Linked DNA regions of Saccharomyces cerevisiae S288C. The gene in region 2 interacts genetically with the main gene of each other region. Each region holds a gene or a part of one and is shown on either strand. Other genes may lie near its edges.

Region 1 (5,925 bases), on a different chromosome or scaffold from region 2:
ACATATGAATAAAATAACTTGTGTCAAATGCCCCATTTCCATACTGTAACCCAAATCAACGAAATAAAAAATAAAACCTCATATGATTTACTTTATTTAGTCATAAAAAAACAAAAAAAAAAAAAAGGAAACAAGACAATCCTTTATAGTTTGTTTCCATCATGAAACCTATGACCAGCATATATACAATCGTCCCCCAGTTCCTCTTCGATACGCAAAAGTTCATTATACTTGGCCAGTCTTTCTGATCTCGACAAAGCGCCCGATTTAATTTGACCACATCTTAAACCAACGACCAAATCAGCGATAAACGGATCTTCGGTTTCACCTGATCTATGTGATATCATTACACCCCATCCAGCATCGAAAGCCTGATTGGCGGCTTCAATAGACTCAGTCAGAGTACCGATCTGGTTGAGTTTCAGCAACAGAGTATTCGCACATTTCTCCTCTATAGCACGGGCGATCCTGGTCTTGTTGGTGCATGTCAGGTCATCTGCAATTATCTGAACATTGACAGTCTTTAGGAAGGCAGACCACGAGGACCAATCATCTTCGGCGTAGGGGTCTTCCAGGGAAATGATTGGGTATTTCTTTAGCAATGAATGATAATATTCTGCTAACTGAGCTGGACTGAGCCAGTGAGATGGGTCAGAGTTCGGTTCCTTGAAATTTAGGTCGTATTTCCCGTCCTTATAAAAAACAGAAGGAGCACTATCGATTCCTACTTTCACTCTACCCTCGTAACCGCATATGTTAATGGCTTTCACAATCATGTCCAAGGCGTCCTCGGCAGTGTCGATATCGGGGGCGACTCCACCCTCGTCACCAACATTTCCAGCGGAAGGTCCATATTGCTCCTTCGCCAATATCTTCAAATGATGGTAAACCTCCGAACCCATCCTCATGGCTTCTGCAAAGCTCTGAGCCCCGACTGGCGCGATCTTGAATTCTTGCATAGCTAAAGAGCCACCGGCGTGGGCTCCACCATTCAAAACATTGAAAAAAGGAACAGGAATAACAAAGGGGTCCTGTCTAGCATCCGCTAACTCGGCTATATACTTGTAGAGAGTAATTCCCTTTTGTGCGGCAGCAGCTCGAGCAACGCACAAGGAAACACCAAGGATAGCATTGGCGCCCAACCTTGACTTGTTAGAAGTTCCGTCTAACGATATCATGAGCTCGTCTATGCCCTTCTGATTGGTTACACATAAGTCGGACTTGATTAAAGCAGGCCCTATGATACTATTGACGTTACTGACTGCCTTGGTCACCCCTTTTCCCATCCATTCGGACTTGTTCCCGTCTCTAAGTTCAACAGCTTCGTGAATGCCGGTGGAGGCACCAGATGGGACGATCGCTCTGAAGAGACCATTCTCTGTTGTAATTTCAACCTCAACAGTCGGATTACCGCGAGAATCATACACCGTTCTAGCATGTACCTTCGTGATGGACATATTTTTATCGTTGAGATTCGATTTTTTCCTCACCTTGTTTTGGTATTTCTATTGCAAGACAAAGTGAAAGAAGAAGAAGTGGTGGTAAAAAATAACTATATATAATGAAAATTGTTACCTGGTGGGAATGCAAACTGTAAGTAATAACCTGCCAGATCCATGTTTCTATTATATACCTAAGAACCAGCCAAGTTAGGTAAACGAGGAGTCTTTCAATATCTCTTTTCTAGTGAGAATGTTATTTAGGTAAATGAACAAGTTACCACTATACTACTCACCCCCTACACTTTGTTTGTGACCTCTCCCCTTATCCAGTTCATCGAAACTTTTTTTTCAACTTGTGGATCTGTGACATTGTCTACAAGAGCCGATTTTGATGTCTGAACAAAAAACAACCTTACCTTTCCAGATGCAACTTTCCAGGAGAGCTGCGTGAGTTTCAAATATTTAACATGTCGGAGAAAGCTCCCAAGTACTTCCTTGTTCTTGTCATTTTTTCCTTATCTCCATCCTTTAAGGAAGCTATTTCCATTATGCGATTCTATAAATCCGAGCATGCGAGTATTTCTTTTCTTGGCGCGGAGTCGCTGATGACGCAATAGGCACATTCATGAACATCCAGGACTGGTAATCTTCTCGTCTTAAAAAAAATCCAACCACCAGTAAAGAAACTCTTGGGTAAAATGCAGTATCTGAAATATTGCATAGCTGCAAATGAAGATATTCAGTATCAGCATAGGTATTTTCATGAAGGATAGGTAAAAAGAAAGAAAAGAAAAATATCTTTTTGACTGTCATTCTTGCAATTATCACAATTAGGGGACTTTAAAACCGATACTTGATATATGAGCACAGTCAAGGGGCCGGTTCTTGAGATTTTAATGGAAAACAAGAAAGTTGCACATACAGGTCTGCTTTTCTTTGCTTGCTCCAGACAACGATACTTAGAACTAAAACATATTTCTAGAACACTTTTCTCCTTCATTCAAAAAGAAAACTGGCCTTGCAATGACTCCAAAAAGAGCGCTAATATCTCTTACTTCATACCACGGTCCCTTCTATAAAGATGGTGCGAAAACAGGCGTTTTTGTAGTTGAGATTTTGCGGTCGTTCGATACTTTCGAAAAGCATGGTTTCGAAGTGGACTTCGTTTCTGAGACTGGTGGATTTGGCTGGGATGAACATTACTTGCCAAAGAGCTTTATTGGTGGCGAAGATAAGATGAACTTTGAAACGAAAAATTCCGCCTTCAATAAGGCGTTAGCGAGGATCAAGACCGCAAATGAAGTCAACGCCAGCGACTATAAAATATTCTTTGCATCTGCTGGACATGGTGCTCTATTTGACTATCCCAAAGCTAAAAATCTGCAAGATATTGCATCCAAGATATATGCCAATGGGGGTGTGATCGCCGCCATCTGTCATGGACCGCTCCTTTTCGATGGATTAATAGATATCAAAACAACAAGACCATTAATCGAAGGCAAAGCTATAACAGGTTTCCCACTCGAGGGTGAAATCGCCCTGGGAGTTGACGACATCTTGAGGAGCAGAAAATTGACAACGGTTGAACGCGTTGCAAACAAGAATAGAGCCAAGTACTTGGCGCCAATTCATCCCTGGGATGACTACTCTATTACCGATGGAAAGCTAGTTACGGGTGTTAACGCAAATTCTTCCTATTCGACCACAATTAGAGCTATAAACGCATTATATAGCTGAAACAAAAGACAAGGGAATTGTTGAAGGGGAGGCTTCTAATGGCCTTCAGTTTCTGTGAAGAGAAGGCTAACAGCTCAATGGTTCGAAAGGTAAAGAAAACGGCAGATCGGTAGCACTCGATTTTGCTAGAATGGAAATCATATAGAGAACAATTGAATAGTAGGCCTTGGTTTTTAGTGTTGTACTCATCATGGTCATATGTGACATAGGTAATGTACATATATATAAAAAAAAAAAAAAAAAAAGCAATGCTGTGAGATCATTCGTTACTTACGAAATACGCAGATTGCAATTTGAAATAAGCTGTGTTTCCTTTTTTCTTTTTTTTTTTTGGCTTGTTATATACAACTTTTTTCTATTTCTGTTCTTTTAGGAGTAATTAATTGGTACATGGGAAATAAATATGAATTATATTAAATGAAGTAAAAGTAAAAGAAAACGGGGAAATTTATCGTTTCGTAGTAAATAGATGATGGACTTGGGCGACAAAATAAATCCTAACCTCTCGTTCTTAGGAATCAACTGCGTCAGCTTCAACCAATCACCCGACATTCTTGAGTCTCTACATCAAGCACTGCCAAATATGGCCTTGCTTGCTTATCCAAACAGTGGTGAAGTTTATGATACTGAAAAGAAGATATGGTTGCCAAATAGCGATAAGCTGAACAGTTGGGATACGGTTGTTAAACAGTACATTAGCAGCGGTGCCCGTATCATTGGTGGTTGTTGCAGAACAAGTCCAAAAGACATCCAAGAGATTTCTGCAGCCGTCAAGAAATACACGTAAATGCCTTTTTAAAGAAACTGGAAAATTCTTAACATTATACATATGCTAGGAAGCAGCATGTTACACTAAATACATTTTATAAACAGCACAAGAAGTATTGTTAATTAATTATCCTTGCCATGTTTTTTTAGAGTCACAAATGCTTTTCCGTACTTCGCCGACAAAAAACAGAGTAAACATCATATGTTTTATAATCTAAAGGAATCAACTAACAGTTCATCAGATGGGAATTTGGGAGAGTGCACAAGTAAGATGGGGTAAAAGAAGATAAATCTCCACCGGATCTAAACCTTTGCCAATAATCCTCACATGGTGGAGCTACAATCTCGCCTTCTCCGACCAGTCACGATTAATTAAATTGCCTAAAATTAACTTTTATATTCCCATACAGTCGATATTGCTAGCTCAAAAGGCGTTATATTCGAAAGTTGTATCCAAATATTCCATCTAATGTATTATTGGCAAAAGGATTCCGTGATCTGTGTTCCCAAGAACAATCATAACCTTGAAAAATTATTCGCCAATCATTACATGCGGCAAACTAAAAAGCCTTTTTTTGTTGGCTCCGTGGCTCTATTGTCGCAGCTGATAAAAGCAGGTGCCCTTGGATATTTTCGAGAAATATATGACAACTTATTGATGTTTTGCTGGATCAAGTTTACGTGAAGGCAAATTTTCATAAAAGTGTAAAGTATTAACTCTTGAAGGTGCAATAACTCAATGGGTTTTTTTACCTTACAACTCAGCACCATCTTATAATTACAAGGCTGTAATATGTGAGGCCTGGCCGAAATTTCATGTGAAACAATACATGGCTTTCCAAATCTACGCATTTTTAGAGCTTTTCGTGAATGTCGTTACGCTGCTCCCTGACTTAACAATCCCGTTAGGGTATCTACTTCAGAGCAGATTACAATATCAAGAATGTTGTTGGTAGGTATTTGTAAACTTGAATTAGAATCCAAAAAGCCTTTACTAGGAGCTATTTTTAATAGTGTTTATGTTTTTCTTCGAGTACTCTATGAGATGGAAAATTGTCGCCTACGAAAATTTAGTACCTTCTCTTTATCCCAGTGACAAGTTATGCATGCTTGTTATACGATGTTAAATCTTCACTTAAAATCCTCTGGAGATGTACCGATTCCGGTAGGTTTCACTCGAAATTTAGCATATTTCAGTTTGGTTTCCTAACACGACCAGTCGCAGGTGAGAGTCTTGGAATTATCCTTCAACACTGTGTGTTATTGTAGATCAGTAATTAAAGATCAGTGTAGTATTTTCAAATATTCTTTACTTCAGTAAGGACAGAATTTGTAGTGACATTTAATGAAGAATAACAAAGGGATATGGATGTCAGGCGACATTACTCGACGTAAATTACTCTCACGAAGGCAAAAATATAACCTAGCCATTGAGTCCTAACCTACTATTAGCGAGATCTTTCTCATTTCGGCTTTAGAGTGTTCATTTTAATACGATGGCCAAAATTAAAAAAATTCGGCCATCAGACCTTGTCGCTTTACTAAGAAGTTATACGGATGAAGATGAATTACTTGAATAAAGATCTTCACTCACTAAATGAAAACATCTGCAGCACGTGCTTGTTATGCTTAACTCCTTGTAAAAATAGTGTATTTCAAAAAATACGCAGTGACAGAGTAAAGATACCCTAACTTTTGTCCGTTGTCCTCCGGTTCCATCATTGCCAAACTAAAGTACTAAGACCATTATCGTGGGTAAGATCATACATTTAAATAAAATAAAAGATACGTAAGCACCTAGATTCCTGGGACAAGCAGCTCAAAATATTTGTTCCTCTTTCCTGTATGAACTGTCAATGCGTTGCTGCTTCGCTGCACGTATTAAGGATTTTGATGGAAGGTCCAACAAAGAAAAAGAAACGTGCGCTTTTAAAAAAAGAAGCTTTTCCTACCAAAAGTTCTTTGATCTGCTTATTCA
Region 2 (6,693 bases):
ATGGACCCCATATTTTATTTCAGAAACAACAAATACTTCCAATTACAATCCAATAATTTTTATTAATAGAGACGTTTCAACTGAATTCAACTCTCAGTCACCACTTGCCAATGTGAACATTACTGTGACAAGTCCTCAGTCAACATCATCCCAGCCTCCATCTTCATCGGCAAGCAGTGAATCTAAATCAAAATCGAAGAAGAAGAAAATAGGTCGTGGTTTTGTCGTTTTAATTGGTCTTGCACTAGCATTAGGGACAGTTTCTGTCCTTGGTATTGCAGGCGTCATTCTTGCCTACGTGTTTAAGGATCCAGAGGGTGATTATAAGCCCATTAAACCGCGAATTGATGAGAATGAAATGCTTGATACCGTCCCACCCGAAAAACTTATGAAGTTTGTCTAATCGGGGTTGTATTATATAATATATAACTACTTAAAATAATGAACACTTAATATAATAAACAAAAATAAAATAGGAAAATCCTAAGTTGATCAAAACTTAATAAAAATTACTACTTGCACTGGAATGTTAGTAGTAAATTCAACACGTATTGGAAGTCACTTGGAATGTTACCAATACTGCCTGAGAATGAGTGATTTTAACTTATAATACAAAAGTCCGGGTTACAGCCCTTTAAATTTTTTTCACGGCAATTTTTCTTTACTTGGTGAAGCCATGAAAAATGTCATCGGTTCGAAGAAATAGGCCTAATGATAAACAAAAAGGTAATTCAAGGTTTTTGAACTGCTTTGTTGTTTTTATTTGTATCTTTTTTTGGTACGTTAGTTAAGTTAATTTTTGGCTCCTTGTCCAGCTTTTCCTTCATCTGCTACCGTTATATTTTCAGATATTAATTTAGTAGCAGAGAGCAAGTACCGAAAGGAAAACAAAACAGAATGATTTACAAAATGGCACACGTACAGCTTTTGTTGTTGTATTTTTTTGTGTCAACAGTCAAAGCCTTCTATTTACCAGGTGTAGCGCCTACCACTTACAGGGAAAATGACAACATCCCATTGCTCGTTAATCATTTAACTCCATCAATGAATTATCAACACAAAGATGAGGACGGTAATAACGTTTCTGGCGATAAAGAAAATTTCTTGTACTCATACGACTACTATTACAATAGATTCCATTTTTGTCAGCCTGAAAAAGTCGAAAAGCAACCTGAATCCTTGGGATCCGTTATATTTGGTGATCGAATTTATAATTCACCATTCCAATTGAATATGTTACAAGAAAAAGAGTGTGAATCCCTGTGTAAGACCGTAATTCCGGGAGATGATGCTAAATTCATCAATAAATTGATAAAAAATGGCTTCTTCCAAAACTGGCTTATTGATGGATTACCGGCTGCAAGAGAGGTTTATGATGGCAGAACTAAGACTAGTTTTTATGGTGCTGGCTTCAACCTTGGTTTTGTACAGGTAACTCAAGGAACCGACATTGAGGCTACTCCAAAAGGGGCAGAAACCACCGATAAGGATGTGGAATTGGAAACACGTAATGATCGTAACATGGTGAAAACTTACGAATTGCCTTACTTTGCCAACCATTTCGATATTATGATTGAATATCACGATCGTGGTGAAGGTAACTATCGTGTAGTTGGTGTTATCGTCGAACCGGTTTCCATAAAACGTTCCAGTCCAGGTACATGTGAAACGACTGGCAGCCCATTGATGCTAGACGAAGGAAATGATAATGAAGTTTATTTTACTTATTCCGTTAAATTCAATGAATCAGCGACTTCTTGGGCCACCAGGTGGGACAAATATTTACACGTATATGATCCTTCTATTCAATGGTTTTCTTTGATAAATTTCTCCTTAGTTGTTGTCTTATTGTCATCTGTTGTTATCCATTCGCTATTGCGCGCACTGAAAAGTGATTTCGCACGTTACAACGAGTTAAATTTGGACGATGATTTTCAAGAAGATTCGGGTTGGAAATTGAATCATGGTGATGTTTTTCGTTCGCCAAGTCAATCGCTAACCCTTTCAATTTTGGTTGGTTCAGGAGTTCAATTATTTTTGATGGTAACTTGCAGTATCTTCTTCGCTGCATTGGGTTTCCTATCACCTAGTTCTAGAGGTTCCTTAGCCACTGTTATGTTTATCTTATATGCATTATTCGGGTTTGTCGGCTCTTATACATCTATGGGCATCTACAAATTTTTCAATGGGCCATACTGGAAGGCAAACTTGATATTGACTCCACTTCTAGTTCCTGGTGCTATTCTGCTAATAATTATTGCGTTGAACTTTTTCTTAATGTTTGTTCATTCTTCTGGTGTCATACCAGCAAGTACTCTGTTTTTTATGGTTTTTCTATGGTTTTTGTTCTCAATCCCATTATCATTTGCTGGTTCATTGATTGCCAGGAAAAGATGTCACTGGGATGAACATCCAACCAAGACAAACCAAATCGCAAGACAAATACCCTTCCAGCCTTGGTATTTAAAGACTATACCAGCTACTTTGATTGCTGGTATCTTTCCATTTGGCTCCATCGCCGTTGAGTTGTATTTCATATACACAAGTTTATGGTTTAATAAGATTTTTTACATGTTTGGTTTCCTCTTTTTCTCTTTCCTCCTATTAACTTTGACAAGTTCACTCGTCACTATTTTGATCACTTATCATTCCTTATGCCTGGAGAACTGGAAGTGGCAATGGAGAGGATTCATAATTGGAGGCGCCGGTTGTGCTTTGTATGTGTTTATTCATTCTATTTTATTCACCAAATTTAAGTTGGGTGGATTCACGACTATTGTCTTATACGTGGGATACTCCTCAGTCATTTCATTACTCTGCTGTTTGGTAACGGGGTCAATTGGCTTTATCAGCAGTATGCTCTTTGTTAGAAAAATCTACTCATCCATTAAAGTTGACTAGGCCAACGAAAAAGAGGTCCTATATGTTGGGTTAGGGCGTTTTTTATTTATTTCTCTACTGTTTATCTTTTTTAACAAAGAAAATGCTAGGCCCTATGGCCTTTGGACATGATACATAGTTTTTAGTAATATTTTTTTCAAAAAGATTAAAAGTACTATAGGATTCGAAGTTGTAATTTTTGGTGTATATACATTTATTTATTTGAATCTTTTTTCCATGATTCTGGAATGACATTCTGCGTTACAGTTTGGGAATAAATGCTCCTTTAAGGAAATAATATACAGCTTTAGTGTACAGGGTTAATCTATAGCCACATTAAAAGGACTTGATTATGACTTAAAATAAGTGACACTGACGCTTTAATATTCAGTCCGGGTGATGCTGTCATCTAGGACAAAACAATGGGAGTGGATAAGTAAGCAAGTAATAAGATAAAACAGTATTAGAAATTGGTAGTAGGCTGAAGCTTGTTGAAGCTGGTGGACAGAAAAACGCTTATATTGTGAAGATCCTTTTGGATGTCCAACTTTAAGAATTTTACTTTAAATTCCTTTGAAGATTATTACGGAAAGCCCTCTGAAACGCCAAAAATGGAGGAAGAGAAATTGGAAGTAACAAATGTGAATGCGTCCTCTTCAAAAAAAGTACATAAAAGCAAAAAGAGCACTTCAAAATATGACCAAAAGAATGTATTTAGAAACTCAATGACAGGAATTGCACAAATACTGCCAACAAAACCTGTGAAAATTATAGAGCAGAATATTGATTTTGCCAATCCGAAGAGCTTCGACCTCCTGCAATCTACACATACTATTTGCTTTAATAAAAGAATTAACACTACTAATACCAAGTTGAATGTGGAAACTCATACTTCTAGTGATATTGACAACGACATATTGCACGTTGGAGCCCCCACAGACTTGGGGGGAAACAGTAATGACGAAGCGGAAACAAGGCAACTAAGGAAGTTTCGATGGTCCAATAATAAAGAAAAAAGTCTTTGTGAAAAGTTAACAGTCATATATTGGGCCCTCTTGCTCCACACAACAAAGAGAGCAAGTAAAAGGAGACCTATATTATGTCATCAAATGATAGCTGAGTTTTTTAACAGAGTTTATAAGGAGAAATCAAGAGTACCTATAACTTCAAGATATATTAGAGATAACCTCGTCGCTTGGGTCACTCAAGGAAAGGAATTGCATGAAAAAGGTTGGGTAGGGGATGCCAAAACTGGCGATTTGCAAGAACAGTTCAATATAGCCACTGTCAAATTATATGAAAGCGCAGAAGACGGGCGTCTTTCCATTGGTAAAGACAAACCCTTTCGAGAGGAAAACACCGGCAGTGATAGTTTGGTTCGAGCGGAAGAGGACTCTACCGCTGTCACTAATGAAAATGGACATATTTCTTCAGAAAAAAACTTGAAAAAAGATCGTAGAGAGTCTATAAGGAACCAAATCCTGACTTTAGACCTAAATGACGAAGATTTTTTCCAAAATGTAATGAAAGTTTTATCAGCCATTGATGAACCAGAACTGAGACAATATGTAATCGTAATCTCAGAATTAGTTAGCATGGAAATGGATGATGGTAAAACGGTACGAGAAAAGCTCCGAGACGTTGAATTGAATATTAATAGGTTGCAGGTTGATATAAAAGAAATAAAGGAAATGCTTGTTACACTGATAAACAAATGACTGAAAAAAGCAACTCCTGGATCGTTCGAACATTCTCACTCCATTAATTGTATGTTAGCTCAGGAATTCAACTGGAAGAAAGTCCAGGCAAGTACCTGACTTATTTTCTAGAGGACCCCCCAGAGATAAGTCTGGTGATGTGGTCCTTTAATAATTTCATAGGGACAATTCATTTTGCGTTTTTAATTTTGCTCGGTGAACAAAGGATGGCAGAGCATGTTATCGTTTTCTTTTTTTTTTCCTGTTTTAGAGAAAAAGGTTATATATGTAATAATACTCTGATATATGTACACAAATAATAGGTTTAGGTAAGGAATTTATATAATCGTAAGGATATCATTGATAAGGGAAATTTTTTTTTTTTTTTTTCAAACAAATACTATGATAATTAAAATGAAGAAAAAACGTCAGTCATGAAAAATTAAGAGAGATGATGGAGCGTCTCACTTCAAACGCATTATTCTAGCATGGCCTTGTACCACGGTTTGTCGTCATGTTGTAAATCCTCTAAATCGTAATTATTACCTCTTCTGGATGAAGGAATCCAGCCTTCAGATTTCCAAGGTAAAACACCTTCTTCCCATAATTCTTGAATTTCTTCTAACGATAGGCCTTTAGTTTCTGGAACAAAGAAAAAGACATAAAAAAACATGGCAACCAAACAGCCCATGAAGACATAACCGTAGTAGAAGTTAATGGCAGATGTGATGAATGGGGTGAAAAATGCAATCAAGAACCCCCATACCCAATTGGAAGCAGAGGCCAACGCCATACATTTCGACTTGACTCTCAGTGGGAATGATTCTGCTGTGATGACCCAGGCAACTGGCGCCCAGGTTGTGGCATAACAGAAAATATAAAAACAGGTAAAGACAATCATACAGTTACCGGCACCTTTAGAAGATGGCTGGCTTTTACCGTGAGGATATAATCTAGTAACACCAACAGAGGCGTAGATGACCATACAAGCCATCATAGTGGCAGCGCCCAAAAGTAAACATTTACGATGTCCCAAGTTTTCGACAGTCCACAAACTAAAGAAAGTGGAGGCAAAGTTGACTACACCAATGACAATGGATGTTTCAAAGGAATCATCCAGGCCAACTGACTTGAAAATAACGGTACCGTAGTAGAAAAAATAATTGTTACCGGTTAATTGTTGGAACATTTGAACAAACACACCCATCAACAAACGTTGAAATACTTTGGTCTTGGTGGAAAATAATTCCCCCCAGGACGCATTGCCAGCCAGTTTTTCAGCTTCTATACCGGCCATGATCAGATCTAACTCTGCCTGGACGGCAGGATCCTCTGGTGACACCTTGTTAGACTTAGCAATGGAACGCTTGGCGTCTTCTACCTTATTCACCTCACATAAATAACGTGGGGATTCAGGAACTAACGTCAAAGCGCCAATCATAAATAATGACCAAGCGAAACATAGCCCTAATGGAACTCTCCATTGAACTGAGTTCGAATAGCTCTTTGTACCGTAATTAGTACAGTAGCCCAAAAAGATACCTGCAGTAATCATCAGCTGATAACAAGAAACTAGTGTGCCTCTCAAGTGCTTTGGAGCAATTTCAGAGATCAACATAGGACATAAGACGGCGATGCCGCCGACACCCAAACCAGATATGATTCTACCAATGAAATATTGGTACCACTTGTTGATAGAGGCAATTTGAATGATAATACCAACTATATAAACCGAGACGACAATCGAAAGACCCTTTTTACGGCCATACATATCTCCACCTTTGGAAAGTATAATACCACCAAAGGCACAGCCAATATTGAAAATGGCGACGATTAAACCTGTTCTGACGTTTGACAAATAGTGGGTACCATCCTTATGTTTCATACCAAACCTTCTCAAAAAGTCTGTTTGGACAACAAACCCAGAAATAGTACCGGTATCCCAGCCAAACATGAAGCCGCCGAAGGCAACACACAAACAAAGCAAGGAAACGGTAACATATTCAGACATGGGCTTCTTGGGTATCTCTATAGGAACACTTTGGGAGCCTTCAGACCCTGACTCACCGGCTTTCAATTCATCATTAGAATACTTTTGAGATTGTGCGCTTAAATG
Region 3 (7,154 bases), on a different chromosome or scaffold from region 2:
TTTATTACAACCAATTTAGAGGATGACGACAACCTGAGTGAAGAGGTTTCTGAAGTTGTCAGTGACATTGAAGAGGACCGAAAGAATTCTGAAGGAAAGACTATCGGTAACGAAATCTATAATACAGATGATGACGGTGATGGCGATACTAGCGAGGATTATAGCGAAACTGCGGAATCAAGAGTTCCCACGAGCAGCACCACCTCATTTCCCGGGTCATCCCAGAGGAGTATATCGGGGTGCACAAAAGTTTTACAAAAGTTTAGATATTCATCTTCATTCAGCGGAGTTAATGCAAATAGACAACCACTATTTCCTCGGCACGTTAATCAAAAAAGTAGAGGAATGGTATACGTCAATCAAAATAGAGATGATGATTGCGACGATAACGATGGTAAAAATCAAATCACGCAAAGGCCATCACTGCGAAAAAGCCTTATTGGTGCCAGGTCACAGAGAATTGTGATTGACATGAAAAGCGTAGATGAACGAAAATCATTCAATTCATCACCAATTTTGCATGAGGAAAGTAAGAAAAGGGACATCGAAACTACTAAGTCAAGCCAAGCTCGGCCGGCAGTCAGATCTATCTCCTTGCTTTCCCAATTTGTTTATAAAGGTAAATAAAAGTTAAGTACTGCACGTTTCATATCGGAGGTATATTTTTCAAATGAAAATCTCGTCGAAATGCCTCAAGACAAGAATTAAAAAATCAATGCCCAGTAAAGTAGGACAGGGTACGGTTGGAGTAAGAAGCCTTCTACTTTGGGAAAAAGCCATTGTACTAGACCAAGAAAAGATTAAAAGTAGATGTGTCAAATTAAGCCACAAGTATGTTTGCCCCGCTATGAACAATGCACGCCGCATGTGAGGACAACTTTATATGTTTTGCGAGCGCGCTGGGCATGTGCAATTCACATTTTTTTTTTCCTTTTTTTTAACCCACTCTATTTATCTAATCAAGCCGCTAGCGGTCTACATTCGCTATCAACTGAACGAATAGTGATGCAATCTGAACCTTAAACTTTTCGCTCGCTTTTACTTTCCAGAAAAAATTTTCTTCATTGGGATTCCTCTGCTGACAAACGGGCTCACAGAACTGAGGAAACGAGAATTTTGTTAATCAAAGCAACATTACGGGAAGGAACGGAACCGTCTCGTTGCTGTGGGCGCGAGTTCGACGCAAGAAAAAAATGCTGCAGCATCGTCTTTTGTGAACGCCAAGAAGGAGTCCGGCGAAGGTATTGGGCGTCACAACCTTTTATTCTCCGCAGTGTCTCTTGCCTACAAAGCCTGCAGAAGCTTTTATGCCGGGGTGTACGTATGTTAATCAGTTACCCTTTCCTACTGTGTGCCGCACCCCTCATTTGCTCTCGATACGAGAAGTTCCGCGCCGATTCTGGCCTTTTTGTTTTCTGGCTAGCCTACTTTCAGGGGACGTGCCTTCTTATGCCGCTGTAAATTACAGCAGAGATTTAGATCTGAGTGAAAACGTGGCGAGGAAAAAGGGTACACCGTTAAAAGCGTAGACACAATCCCACTTTGTTGTGCCTAGTCTTCTCTGCTGTATTTTAATTTTCTGTTTGAACTTTTTTCCGTTCTTTTCCATCATTGTTTAATTTTTACTTTGAGTGGGCTTCTCAAAAGAAAAAAATAGCTGGTATTGTATTTTTACCGTAGGCGTTTTCTTTGTATTTTTCCCAAGAGCAGCAGCACCTTTTATATACCTTGGTTACACATTGTAAGCCTCAAAAATCGTCCTATGTAAGTGTCTTATCGCATCATACTTAAGGTCAAACCTGTAAAGCGCGCTTCTAGTTTTATTTCTACTACTCGCCTTGGCTCTCGAGATCGCTTAGGTAGTTTAATAGTTAGTCACACCCACCCACCCATTCGCTTAGAATATAGAATATAGAGCAGTTGCAGTACACGACTCATTTTAGCAACGATAAGAGTATAAATTGGAAATGCCAAATTTTCAAAAACCTTTTTCTGGTTCTTCGGATGGCAATTCTGTAATGAACGACCTAGGTAATAAAGTCGCCATCAAGGTTTTTGATTGTAGAAGTGCTCAAGATGGCAGCGAAGAGCAGAATGTAAATGTAACCACGAACCAAATGTATTTAATGTTTCAAAGTAACAATTACAACGTGCCGCCACCAAATTACAATACCGAGGATTTGGGTTCTCAAGGACCTCCGACGCATGCTTATTACGCTCCATTTCAGCATCCCATCCATCTTCAACCTCCCGTGCCTCCTGTATATAAGAACAACACATATTCTGCCACAGACCAGTATAGTGACTCCTCGTTTCCTAATACTTCAGGCCACACTCCAGTAATTGATAGTAATTACTATAATGATGCTCTGGCTTCTATACCTACAACAACGACGGGTAGTACTACAATGACTACAGACAATGGCAATACTATTGACAGCGAAGAATACATTGATAACATGGAAGTCTTTAGTAGCGAGGAAAATGAAAACATTGATAATGTAAAGCAAACCGATCTTAAATCTGAAAAGGACTCGAGTCTTCTTTCAGCAGCTTCAATCGTGAAAAAGGAACAATTGTCTGGCTTTGAAAATTTTTTGCCTTTATCGAAGACAGAGTCTCCCTTAGTTACTGCAGACGAGATTAAATCATCTTTGAATTTGGAGAATATTGACAATGCTGACAGTATGAGCTTCAAGTTAAAAACTTCACCTATACGGAAACATTTTCATGTTAAACCCAAAAGAATAACAAGGGTGAGGACAGGAAGGGTATCACACAATATAATTGAAAAGAAATACCGTTCCAATATTAATGATAAAATTGAACAATTAAGGAGAACTGTCCCAACGCTACGAGTAGCGTATAAAAAATGTAACGATCTTCCCATTACATCTAGAGACCTAGCAGACTTAGATGGCCTAGAGCCAGCAACAAAATTGAATAAGGCGTCCATTTTAACGAAATCTATTGAATATATTTGTCATTTAGAAAGAAAGTGCCTACAGCTAAGCTTGGCTAATCAACATTTATCAAATGACACACGGGATTCTTTCGTCCATCTTACCGAGCCATCTCAACCGTTGAGTGACAACAGTAGTAGTGAACAAGTACAAAAGCAAACCAGAAGCTGCCAACGCCAACGGCAGCGGCAGCCACGACAACAACAACCATTGCATAACATTCAATATAATATTCCACATCAAAACGGCCTCATGAGCGGCACCAACAATTCACATGATATGGATTTTAACAACGCAGGAGACTTTTAATACTTGAACAACAAAATGTTTCAACACGACAGATAAAACGAAGAAGAAATACTATATACAAATCTGTACTTGTGTGTATGCGTAACATTGTAATTTTAATTTTGCATTGAGAAATCTATTTTATTCATCTCTTTTAGTGTTAGTAAACACTCGCAGATGCCTTGAGCTCCGCACCGTAATTTAGTTTAATTTATTTCTCTTAGTGCCGTCTAAATAATAACGATCTAAAAAAAAGATTCCGGGAAAAAGAAACTATACCTTATATTTAGTTCATGCAGTTAAATAAATGTTGTTAATTAAGGGTAAAATATGATGATGTATTTATGATAAGTAAAGAGTAGGGGTCACCTAACATTTTTCACAATTGCATTTACTCTTTTCACAAGTGCACGTGGTTTCGCATTTGCATTTTTCACCACAACTCTTACATTGAGGGCTTCCGGTGCTGTGATCACATTTGCACTTTTCACCGCCAGAACAGCTTGGAAGGCAGGTGCTCCCACAATGACAAGAGTCCTTACAACATTCGCCTTAACAGTCACATATTTTTACAGTCATATTTATTGAGTACTATTTGACATTGTAGTGTTCAGTGTAATATCGCTTCGCTATTCTTAGGGGGGACGATGTGCGCCCTTCTTATATAGGCCCCGCTTGATCACTACTTCACAGCCCTCTCGCATCCCTATCCTTTTTTTGTCCGAAAGACAAAAATCACTTCCACACAGCAATAAAGACGCATTTATTGTTCTTTTTCTTAAAAGTGCTTGCAGTAGGGGGTTTAGCAAAAGAAAAAAATATATGACCGGTTGTTATGCGATCTGACGTAAAGTGGAACTCATTTTGAAGGGTTTCTGCACAGAAGTCAATGCCAGAAGGATTTGGAACACCTACAGGACTGAACGTCGGACTAAAATAATGTTGGTAGAGTATGGTATTACTGTAAATTAATCGTTTATACGTGACGTTGACGATGGGATTTGATTTTCTTGTATATCTGACTTGAAAATAAAAGCAATAAATGACCACAAGAAATAAAGGCAGCTGTACTTCTGCAGTTATGTCTTTTCGTCCACTGGGCCTGCCTTAATCACTATTTTCGTAATTATAAATGTGGTTGGTTCGAAGTTCGGTTTCCATACTTTCGTTGTCACTGATGTCTGTAGCTAGATAATTGGAATCTCTAATATGTTTGTCGGCTCCTGGTCTAACAGTTGAGCCTTCTTTATTCTGTCCAATGCCATTTTTTGGTTCATATGAATTGGTTTTTCGCCTAGGCTTCCTTAATAGCTGTCGATATTTGGATAATGTCGTTTTAGTATTAGGTTTGCCATTCGATTTACTTCCAAAACTGGGATTTTGCCCAAATTTATTCTCACTTTTCATTATCTTATGTCTTCTTCTTCTGTCCCTTATTCTTTCGATTGGAGATTTCCAGGTGGGTGAAGGGGATCCTACTAAACTTGATGAATCGTGGGAAGTAGTGTTACTTTTAGTAGTGTTTAAATCCCTGTTTAACGTTATGGCGCTTAAATGCTTGCCTAAATCTTCTCCGTAATAATTGACTGTTGGATTGGCGAAAAATTTGTCCCTATTGTTAATTTTTCGTCCAAGGACTGTTTTTTTGCTTATGTGCAGCTCCCTCTTTTCCAATACTCCAATTAAGCCCCAAACGTTCACTGTTATTAAAACTTTCAAAAGATGAACAAAGTTAAATGTCCAACCTCTAACATGTTTGGTGAAAGCAGCGAAAAAAATTGTGGTGAAATAGAATAAAATAAATATAAGAATATTATACGCCAATAATGGTATAGTTTCGTGATAATTTTCCCAAAGAATTCTCAATTTCGTTTTACACTTACCGTCCGTATTAATTTCAGCAGTTTTCGGTAAAAGTATGTAAGCAAAATTATGCCATGTGAAGTAACAAATAATGGAGATGAAAATTGTGTAAATCAGTAATTCGATTAGCTTGTAAAATACCTTCAAAACTACAAGGTTCTTTCTCCAAAGAAGGTTTGCGAATAAAATGTTATCGGCTAGTGAGAGGAAGCAACCCACGGTAATTATGATATGTGTCCCCTTTTTCATTTTAAATGGGATCCAATTCCAAGTTGGTTTTCCATAATTGGACTGTAAGTAGTGAACAATATAAATCCAGTTTATATCACTCAAAATATTTGCAACTAATTCACATATTTTATATGGTGCAGTTTCTACGATGAACGATTCAAATTGGCTCGCATCCTGGTAGTCATCGTGATATTGGCTGTCAAATATGACGGCTATAGTCTCGTTTAGAAATACAGTTCTTATAATCGCAGAGAAAAGGACGTAAACATGTACAACTTTATTTCTTCTATTATGATTATCGGATGGCAGTAATAAGACAACCAAAAATAGCATCCATGTTGCCACACAGATACACCCAGAAGCAAAGGTGATCATTATCATTCCTAAGGGAAATGGGTCTTTTCCGATGTATTTACTACTGTCATCTTGAACGTTGAATTTGTTGTTGATGTCATAAACAAAGTCTTGTAAGACATGAGAGAAATTAGGATTTGCACTGCCATTATCGCATCGGATCAAAAAGGATGGGTAATTTAAAGTGTAATTATAAGCACGTAAGTGCCACGAATTACTTGCTAGAGAGATGAAGCCACCTGTCAATACATTTACCGTGCATGAGTTTTCATATTTATTTAGTAGTTTATCATCTATCAAATCAGTCAGATTGTAAGCTGGAATGTTGTCGATGTGTTTTTTATAAGGTGGCCGGTGGTCGTAATGCGGTGGTCTTTCATCACCAAGTTTATGTCCCGGAGGACCAGGTATCAAATCGGGAGGTTGAATTCTCTTTCTTGCTGCTTTTTCATACGCACCTACAAGTCCTAAATGGTAAACTAAAGTGAGGAGGTAGTAAAAATGCAATCTTATGATCATTAATCTTGCACGTAAAGACGTTCCGCAACAAAAAATGCTTGTGAGTGCAATATCAATAAGTATTGTTTTTGAGCCTTCGGAGTTGAGCTGCCATTTGGTGGTACTTGTTTTGAATATGATAGAAGCCTTATCTTTGACACTTCTTCCAGTCAATTTTCTCGCCAAGTTAAAAAAAAAAGTTACAATTTTCTCATCACCCCGAAACAACAAAAGAAAGTATATTGCTCTTTAGCCCTTCCTTGCAGATTTTTCAATCCAACGGGGCTAGTAAATCTGATATCAATCACATCGATTGTGTTATCTTCACATGTTGTTTGATAGAAATCAGACCTTCTTTTTTCTTCTTCTCGGATGTTTATAGTTAGTAAAGCTAAACTGTGTATATATGGCAATCACCGAAGACGAATTATTACAGGACAGAAATAAATGGGTTACACACCAGAAATCAGGGACAAAAGGGCCCAACGGAAATTTTATAGGTTGTTTTGTTTATCTGTGCACATAGGCGACAAAACTAAAGTTATGTATCTAAGAATTACAACGTAGTGTAGGTGAGCGGTACTTGAAACTTTCTTTTTGTAAACACCATAAAAGGATATTAATGACATCGGTTGAAATAATGACATCTAGAAGGAAAATTACAACTAGAAGAAAGCGTGATTATGTTGTAAAGAATCCGGCAAATAGAAAAGCTAAAAGATGATTGCAAGGCTAGTGAAGATATTTCAAAACTTAGTTACTCGTTACCTTAAAAACCTTACATTGTTCTCATGTATTACATGAAATTCTATCTTTTCTTTTTGAATAAGCTCTAAGTATTAATCCTCAAGTATTAATTGCCCACCACCTTCTTAAAACTGTTGTTTTTTAATTACAATTTTCTACGCTAACCCGTTTCTTCCATTTTCTCACTGTTAGTATTCCCATATAACGATC
Region 4 (5,723 bases), on a different chromosome or scaffold from region 2:
ATTTTGCAGGAATGATGCAAAGAGAGGAAGAACAAGAAGAGAGTTGTTGTTTTTAATGTATCTTAGCAATTTATGAGAGGAGCATTGTCGTTGTCTGCTGTGACTAGTGCGTAGCTTTGCCGTTTGTTTTTAATCATGATGGACATGCAAGTGAGAAAAGTGAGGAAGCCGCCTGCTTGCACCCAATGCAGGAAGAGAAAGATCGGGTGCGACAGGGCAAAACCGATATGTGGGAATTGCGTCAAGTATAACAAGCCGGACTGTTTTTATCCAGATGGACCTGGTAAGATGGTCGCTGTGCCCTCTGCGTCCGGGATGTCCACGCACGGCAATGGCCAAGGTTCCAACCATTTTAGTCAGGGAAACGGTGTAAATCAGAAAAACGTAATGATTCAAACGCAGTATCCGATTATGCAAACGTCGATAGAGGCATTCAACTTCTCGTTCAACCCCTCTGTGGATACTGCGATGCAGTGGACCAAGGCCGCTAGCTACCAGAATAATAACACCAATAATAATACTGCTCCTCGTCAGAATAGTAGTACCGTTAGTAGTAATGTTCATGGAAACACTATTGTGAGAAGCGATAGTCCAGATGTGCCCTCCATGGATCAGATTAGAGAATATAACACACGATTACAACTGGTTAACGCTCAAAGTTTTGACTATACAGATAACCCATACTCTTTTAATGTTGGTATCAATCAAGACTCGGCCGTTTTCGATCTAATGACTTCTCCGTTTACTCAAGAGGAAGTATTAATCAAGGAGATAGACTTTTTAAAAAACAAATTGCTTGATTTACAAAGCTTGCAACTGAAAAGTTTGAAAGAAAAATCGAATTTAAATGCCGACAATACCACGGCAAACAAAATTAACAAAACAGGTGAGAATTCTAAGAAAGGCAAGGTTGACGGTAAAAGAGCCGGATTTGATCATCAGACTTCAAGGACTTCTCAGTCCTCACAAAAATACTTTACAGCGCTCACAATAACAGATGTGCAAAGTTTAGTCCAAGTGAAACCGTTGAAGGATACCCCCAACTACCTTTTCACTAAAAACTTCATCATTTTTAGAGATCATTATCTTTTCAAGTTCTATAATATTTTGCACGATATCTGCCATATTAATCAGTTCAAAGTAAGTCCTCCTAACAATAAAAATCACCAACAATATATGGAAGTTTGCAAAGTTAACTTCCCACCAAAAGCAATAATTATTGAGACACTAAACTCTGAATCCCTTAACAATCTGAATATTGAAGAATTTTTGCCAATCTTTGACAAAACCCTCTTACTAGAATTTGTTCATAACTCTTTTCCAAATGGTGATACCTGTCCTTCATTCTCAACGGTCGATCTTCCTTTATCTCAACTGACCAAACTAGGCGAATTAACTGTGCTTCTACTGTTGTTAAACGATTCAATGACCCTATTCAATAAGCAGGCTATTAATAACCATGTTTCGGCATTAATGAATAATTTGAGGTTGATTCGAAGCCAAATCACATTGATAAACCTGGAATATTATGACCAAGAGACAATCAAATTTATTGCCATCACAAAATTTTATGAATCTCTGTACATGCATGATGATCATAAATCAAGTTTAGACGAAGATTTGAGCTGTCTGTTAAGCTTCCAGATAAAAGATTTCAAGTTATTCCATTTTTTGAAAAAAATGTATTACTCAAGACATTCGCTTCTAGGTCAGTCTTCATTCATGGTACCCGCTGCTGAAAACCTATCTCCGATACCTGCCTCTATTGATACGAACGACATTCCTTTAATTGCTAACGATTTAAAATTACTGGAAACGCAAGCAAAATTGATAAATATTCTGCAAGGTGTTCCTTTCTACTTGCCAGTAAATTTAACCAAAATTGAAAGTCTGTTAGAAACCTTGACTATGGGCGTGAGTAATACAGTAGACTTATATTTTCATGACAACGAAGTCAGAAAAGAATGGAAAGACACTTTAAATTTTATCAATACCATTGTTTATACAAATTTTTTCCTTTTTGTTCAAAACGAATCCTCTTTGTCCATGGCAGTTCAACATTCTTCTAACAACAATAAGACCTCGAACTCTGAAAGATGTGCAAAGGATCTGATGAAAATTATTTCTAATATGCACATTTTTTACTCAATAACATTTAATTTTATCTTCCCCATAAAGTCGATAAAGTCATTTTCAAGCGGCAATAATCGCTTTCATTCTAATGGTAAAGAATTTTTATTCGCAAATCATTTTATTGAAATCTTACAGAATTTTATAGCAATCACATTTGCTATTTTCCAACGTTGTGAAGTAATATTATATGACGAATTTTACAAAAATCTTTCAAATGAGGAGATTAATGTTCAATTGCTATTGATTCATGACAAGATTTTGGAAATTTTAAAAAAAATAGAAATTATCGTATCCTTTTTACGAGATGAAATGAATAGCAACGGAAGTTTCAAATCTATTAAAGGTTTCAACAAGGTTTTGAATCTGATTAAATATATGCTGAGATTTAGCAAGAAAAAACAAAATTTTGCGAGAAACTCTGATAACAATAATGTTACAGATTATAGTCAGTCGGCGAAGAACAAAAATGTTCTCTTGAAATTCCCCGTTAGTGAACTGAACAGAATCTATTTAAAATTTAAGGAGATTTCAGATTTTTTAATGGAAAGAGAAGTTGTCCAAAGGAGTATAATTATTGACAAGGATTTGGAATCTGATAATCTGGGTATTACTACGGCAAACTTCAACGATTTCTATGATGCATTTTATAATTAGTAAGCCGATCCCATTACCGACATTTGGGCGCTATACGTGCATATGTTCATGTATGTATCTGTATTTAAAACACTTTTGTATTATTTTTCCTCATATATGTGTATAGGTTTATACGGATGATTTAATTATTACTTCACCACCCTTTATTTCAGGCTGATATCTTAGCCTTGTTACTAGTTAGAAAAAGACATTTTTGCTGTCAGTCACTGTCAAGAGATTCTTTTGCTGGCATTTCTTCTAGAAGCAAAAAGAGCGATGCGTCTTTTCCGCTGAACCGTTCCAGCAAAAAAGACTACCAACGCAATATGGATTGTCAGAATCATATAAAAGAGAAGCAAATAACTCCTTGTCTTGTATCAATTGCATTATAATATCTTCTTGTTAGTGCAATATCATATAGAAGTCATCGAAATAGATATTAAGAAAAACAAACTGTACAATCAATCAATCAATCATCACATAAAATGTTCAGCGAATTAATTAACTTCCAAAATGAAGGTCATGAGTGCCAATGCCAATGTGGTAGCTGCAAAAATAATGAACAATGCCAAAAATCATGTAGCTGCCCAACGGGGTGTAACAGCGACGACAAATGCCCCTGCGGTAACAAGTCTGAAGAAACCAAGAAGTCATGCTGCTCTGGGAAATGAAACGAATAGTCTTTAATATATTCATCTAACTATTTGCTGTTTTTAATTTTTAAAAGGAGAAGGAAGTTTAATCGACGATTCTACTCAGTTTGAGTACACTTATGTATTTTGTTTAGATACTTTGTTAATTTATAGGTATACGTTAATAATTAAGAAAAGGAAATAAAGTATCTCCATATGTCGCCCCAAGAATAAAATATTATTACCAAATTCTAGTTTGCCTAACTTACAACTCTGTATAGAATCCCCAGATTTCGAATAAAAAAAAAAAAAAAAGCTATTCATGGTACCCGCTGCTGAAAACCTATCTCCGATACCTGCCTCTATTGATACGAACGACATTCCTTTAATTGCTAACGATTTAAAATTACTGGAAACGCAAGCAAAATTGATAAATATTCTGCAAGGTGTTCCTTTCTACTTGCCAGTAAATTTAACCAAAATTGAAAGTCTGTTAGAAACCTTGACTATGGGCGTGAGTAATACAGTAGACTTATATTTTCATGACAACGAAGTCAGAAAAGAATGGAAAGACACTTTAAATTTTATCAATACCATTGTTTATACAAATTTTTTCCTTTTTGTTCAAAACGAATCCTCTTTGTCCATGGCAGTTCAACATTCTTCTAACAACAATAAGACCTCGAACTCTGAAAGATGTGCAAAGGATCTGATGAAAATTATTTCTAATATGCACATTTTTTACTCAATAACATTTAATTTTATCTTCCCCATAAAGTCGATAAAGTCATTTTCAAGCGGCAATAATCGCTTTCATTCTAATGGTAAAGAATTTTTATTCGCAAATCATTTTATTGAAATCTTACAGAATTTTATAGCAATCACATTTGCTATTTTCCAACGTTGTGAAGTAATATTATATGACGAATTTTACAAAAATCTTTCAAATGAGGAGATTAATGTTCAATTGCTATTGATTCATGACAAGATTTTGGAAATTTTAAAAAAAATAGAAATTATCGTATCCTTTTTACGAGATGAAATGAATAGCAACGGAAGTTTCAAATCTATTAAAGGTTTCAACAAGGTTTTGAATCTGATTAAATATATGCTGAGATTTAGCAAGAAAAAACAAAATTTTGCGAGAAACTCTGATAACAATAATGTTACAGATTATAGTCAGTCGGCGAAGAACAAAAATGTTCTCTTGAAATTCCCCGTTAGTGAACTGAACAGAATCTATTTAAAATTTAAGGAGATTTCAGATTTTTTAATGGAAAGAGAAGTTGTCCAAAGGAGTATAATTATTGACAAGGATTTGGAATCTGATAATCTGGGTATTACTACGGCAAACTTCAACGATTTCTATGATGCATTTTATAATTAGTAAGCCGATCCCATTACCGACATTTGGGCGCTATACGTGCATATGTTCATGTATGTATCTGTATTTAAAACACTTTTGTATTATTTTTCCTCATATATGTGTATAGGTTTATACGGATGATTTAATTATTACTTCACCACCCTTTATTTCAGGCTGATATCTTAGCCTTGTTACTAGTTAGAAAAAGACATTTTTGCTGTCAGTCACTGTCAAGAGATTCTTTTGCTGGCATTTCTTCTAGAAGCAAAAAGAGCGATGCGTCTTTTCCGCTGAACCGTTCCAGCAAAAAAGACTACCAACGCAATATGGATTGTCAGAATCATATAAAAGAGAAGCAAATAACTCCTTGTCTTGTATCAATTGCATTATAATATCTTCTTGTTAGTGCAATATCATATAGAAGTCATCGAAATAGATATTAAGAAAAACAAACTGTACAATCAATCAATCAATCATCACATAAAATGTTCAGCGAATTAATTAACTTCCAAAATGAAGGTCATGAGTGCCAATGCCAATGTGGTAGCTGCAAAAATAATGAACAATGCCAAAAATCATGTAGCTGCCCAACGGGGTGTAACAGCGACGACAAATGCCCCTGCGGTAACAAGTCTGAAGAAACCAAGAAGTCATGCTGCTCTGGGAAATGAAACGAATAGTCTTTAATATATTCATCTAACTATTTGCTGTTTTTAATTTTTAAAAGGAGAAGGAAGTTTAATCGACGATTCTACTCAGTTTGAGTACACTTATGTATTTTGTTTAGATACTTTGTTAATTTATAGGTATACGTTAATAATTAAGAAAAGGAAATAAAGTATCTCCATATGTCGCCCCAAGAATAAAATATTATTACCAAATTCTAGTTTGCCTAACTTACAACTCTGTATAGAATCCCCAGATTTCGAATAAAAAAAAAGCATATGTATTAATCCTAA

What was found.
Region 1: mutations in SRL2 (region 2) and YMR321C together harm fitness more than expected from each alone (negative genetic interaction), as found in Saccharomyces cerevisiae (one large-scale study listed by BioGRID).
Region 3: mutations in SRL2 (region 2) and HMS1 together harm fitness more than expected from each alone (negative genetic interaction), as found in Saccharomyces cerevisiae (one large-scale study listed by BioGRID).
Region 4: mutations in SRL2 (region 2) and CUP1-2 together harm fitness more than expected from each alone (negative genetic interaction), as found in Saccharomyces cerevisiae (one large-scale study listed by BioGRID).

Annotation. Positions count from the first base shown.
Region 1 is NC_001145.3:915,620-921,544, reverse strand, and holds YMR321C (uncharacterized protein), read left to right. Parts: upstream 1-3,648; coding exon 3,649-3,966; downstream 3,967-5,925. Other genes in the region: phosphopyruvate hydratase ERR3, read right to left, coding at 144-1,457; SNO4 (glutathione-independent methylglyoxalase family protein), read left to right, coding at 2,466-3,179; YMR320W (uncharacterized protein), read right to left, coding at 4,494-4,799.
Region 2 is NC_001144.5:290,299-296,991, reverse strand, and holds SRL2 (Srl2p), read left to right. Parts: upstream 1-3,419; coding exon 3,420-4,598; downstream 4,599-6,693. Other genes in the region: RAX2 (Rax2p), read left to right, coding at 1-403; EMP70 (Emp70p), read left to right, coding at 898-2,901; galactose permease GAL2, read right to left, coding at 5,056-6,693.
Region 3 is NC_001147.6:385,889-393,042, reverse strand, and holds HMS1 (Hms1p), read left to right. Parts: upstream 1-1,967; coding exon 1,968-3,272; downstream 3,273-7,154. Other genes in the region: Rad2 family nuclease EXO1, read left to right, coding at 1-627; YOR032W-A (uncharacterized protein), read right to left, coding at 667-867; DFG16 (Dfg16p), read right to left, coding at 4,359-6,218. UniProt on the Saccharomyces cerevisiae protein: Involved in exit from mitosis and pseudohyphal differentiation.
Region 4 is NC_001140.6:212,247-217,969, reverse strand, and holds CUP1-2 (metallothionein CUP1-2), read left to right. Parts: upstream 1-3,251; coding exon 3,252-3,437; downstream 3,438-5,723. Other genes in the region: RSC30 (Rsc30p), read left to right, coding at 136-2,787; YHR054C-B (uncharacterized protein), read left to right, coding at 3,280-3,453; YHR054C (uncharacterized protein), read left to right, coding at 3,721-4,785; metallothionein CUP1-1, read left to right, coding at 5,250-5,435; YHR052C-B (uncharacterized protein), read left to right, coding at 5,278-5,451. UniProt on the Saccharomyces cerevisiae protein: Protects the cell against copper toxicity by tightly chelating copper ions. May also act as a depository for copper designated for the effective transfer into the apo forms of copper proteins.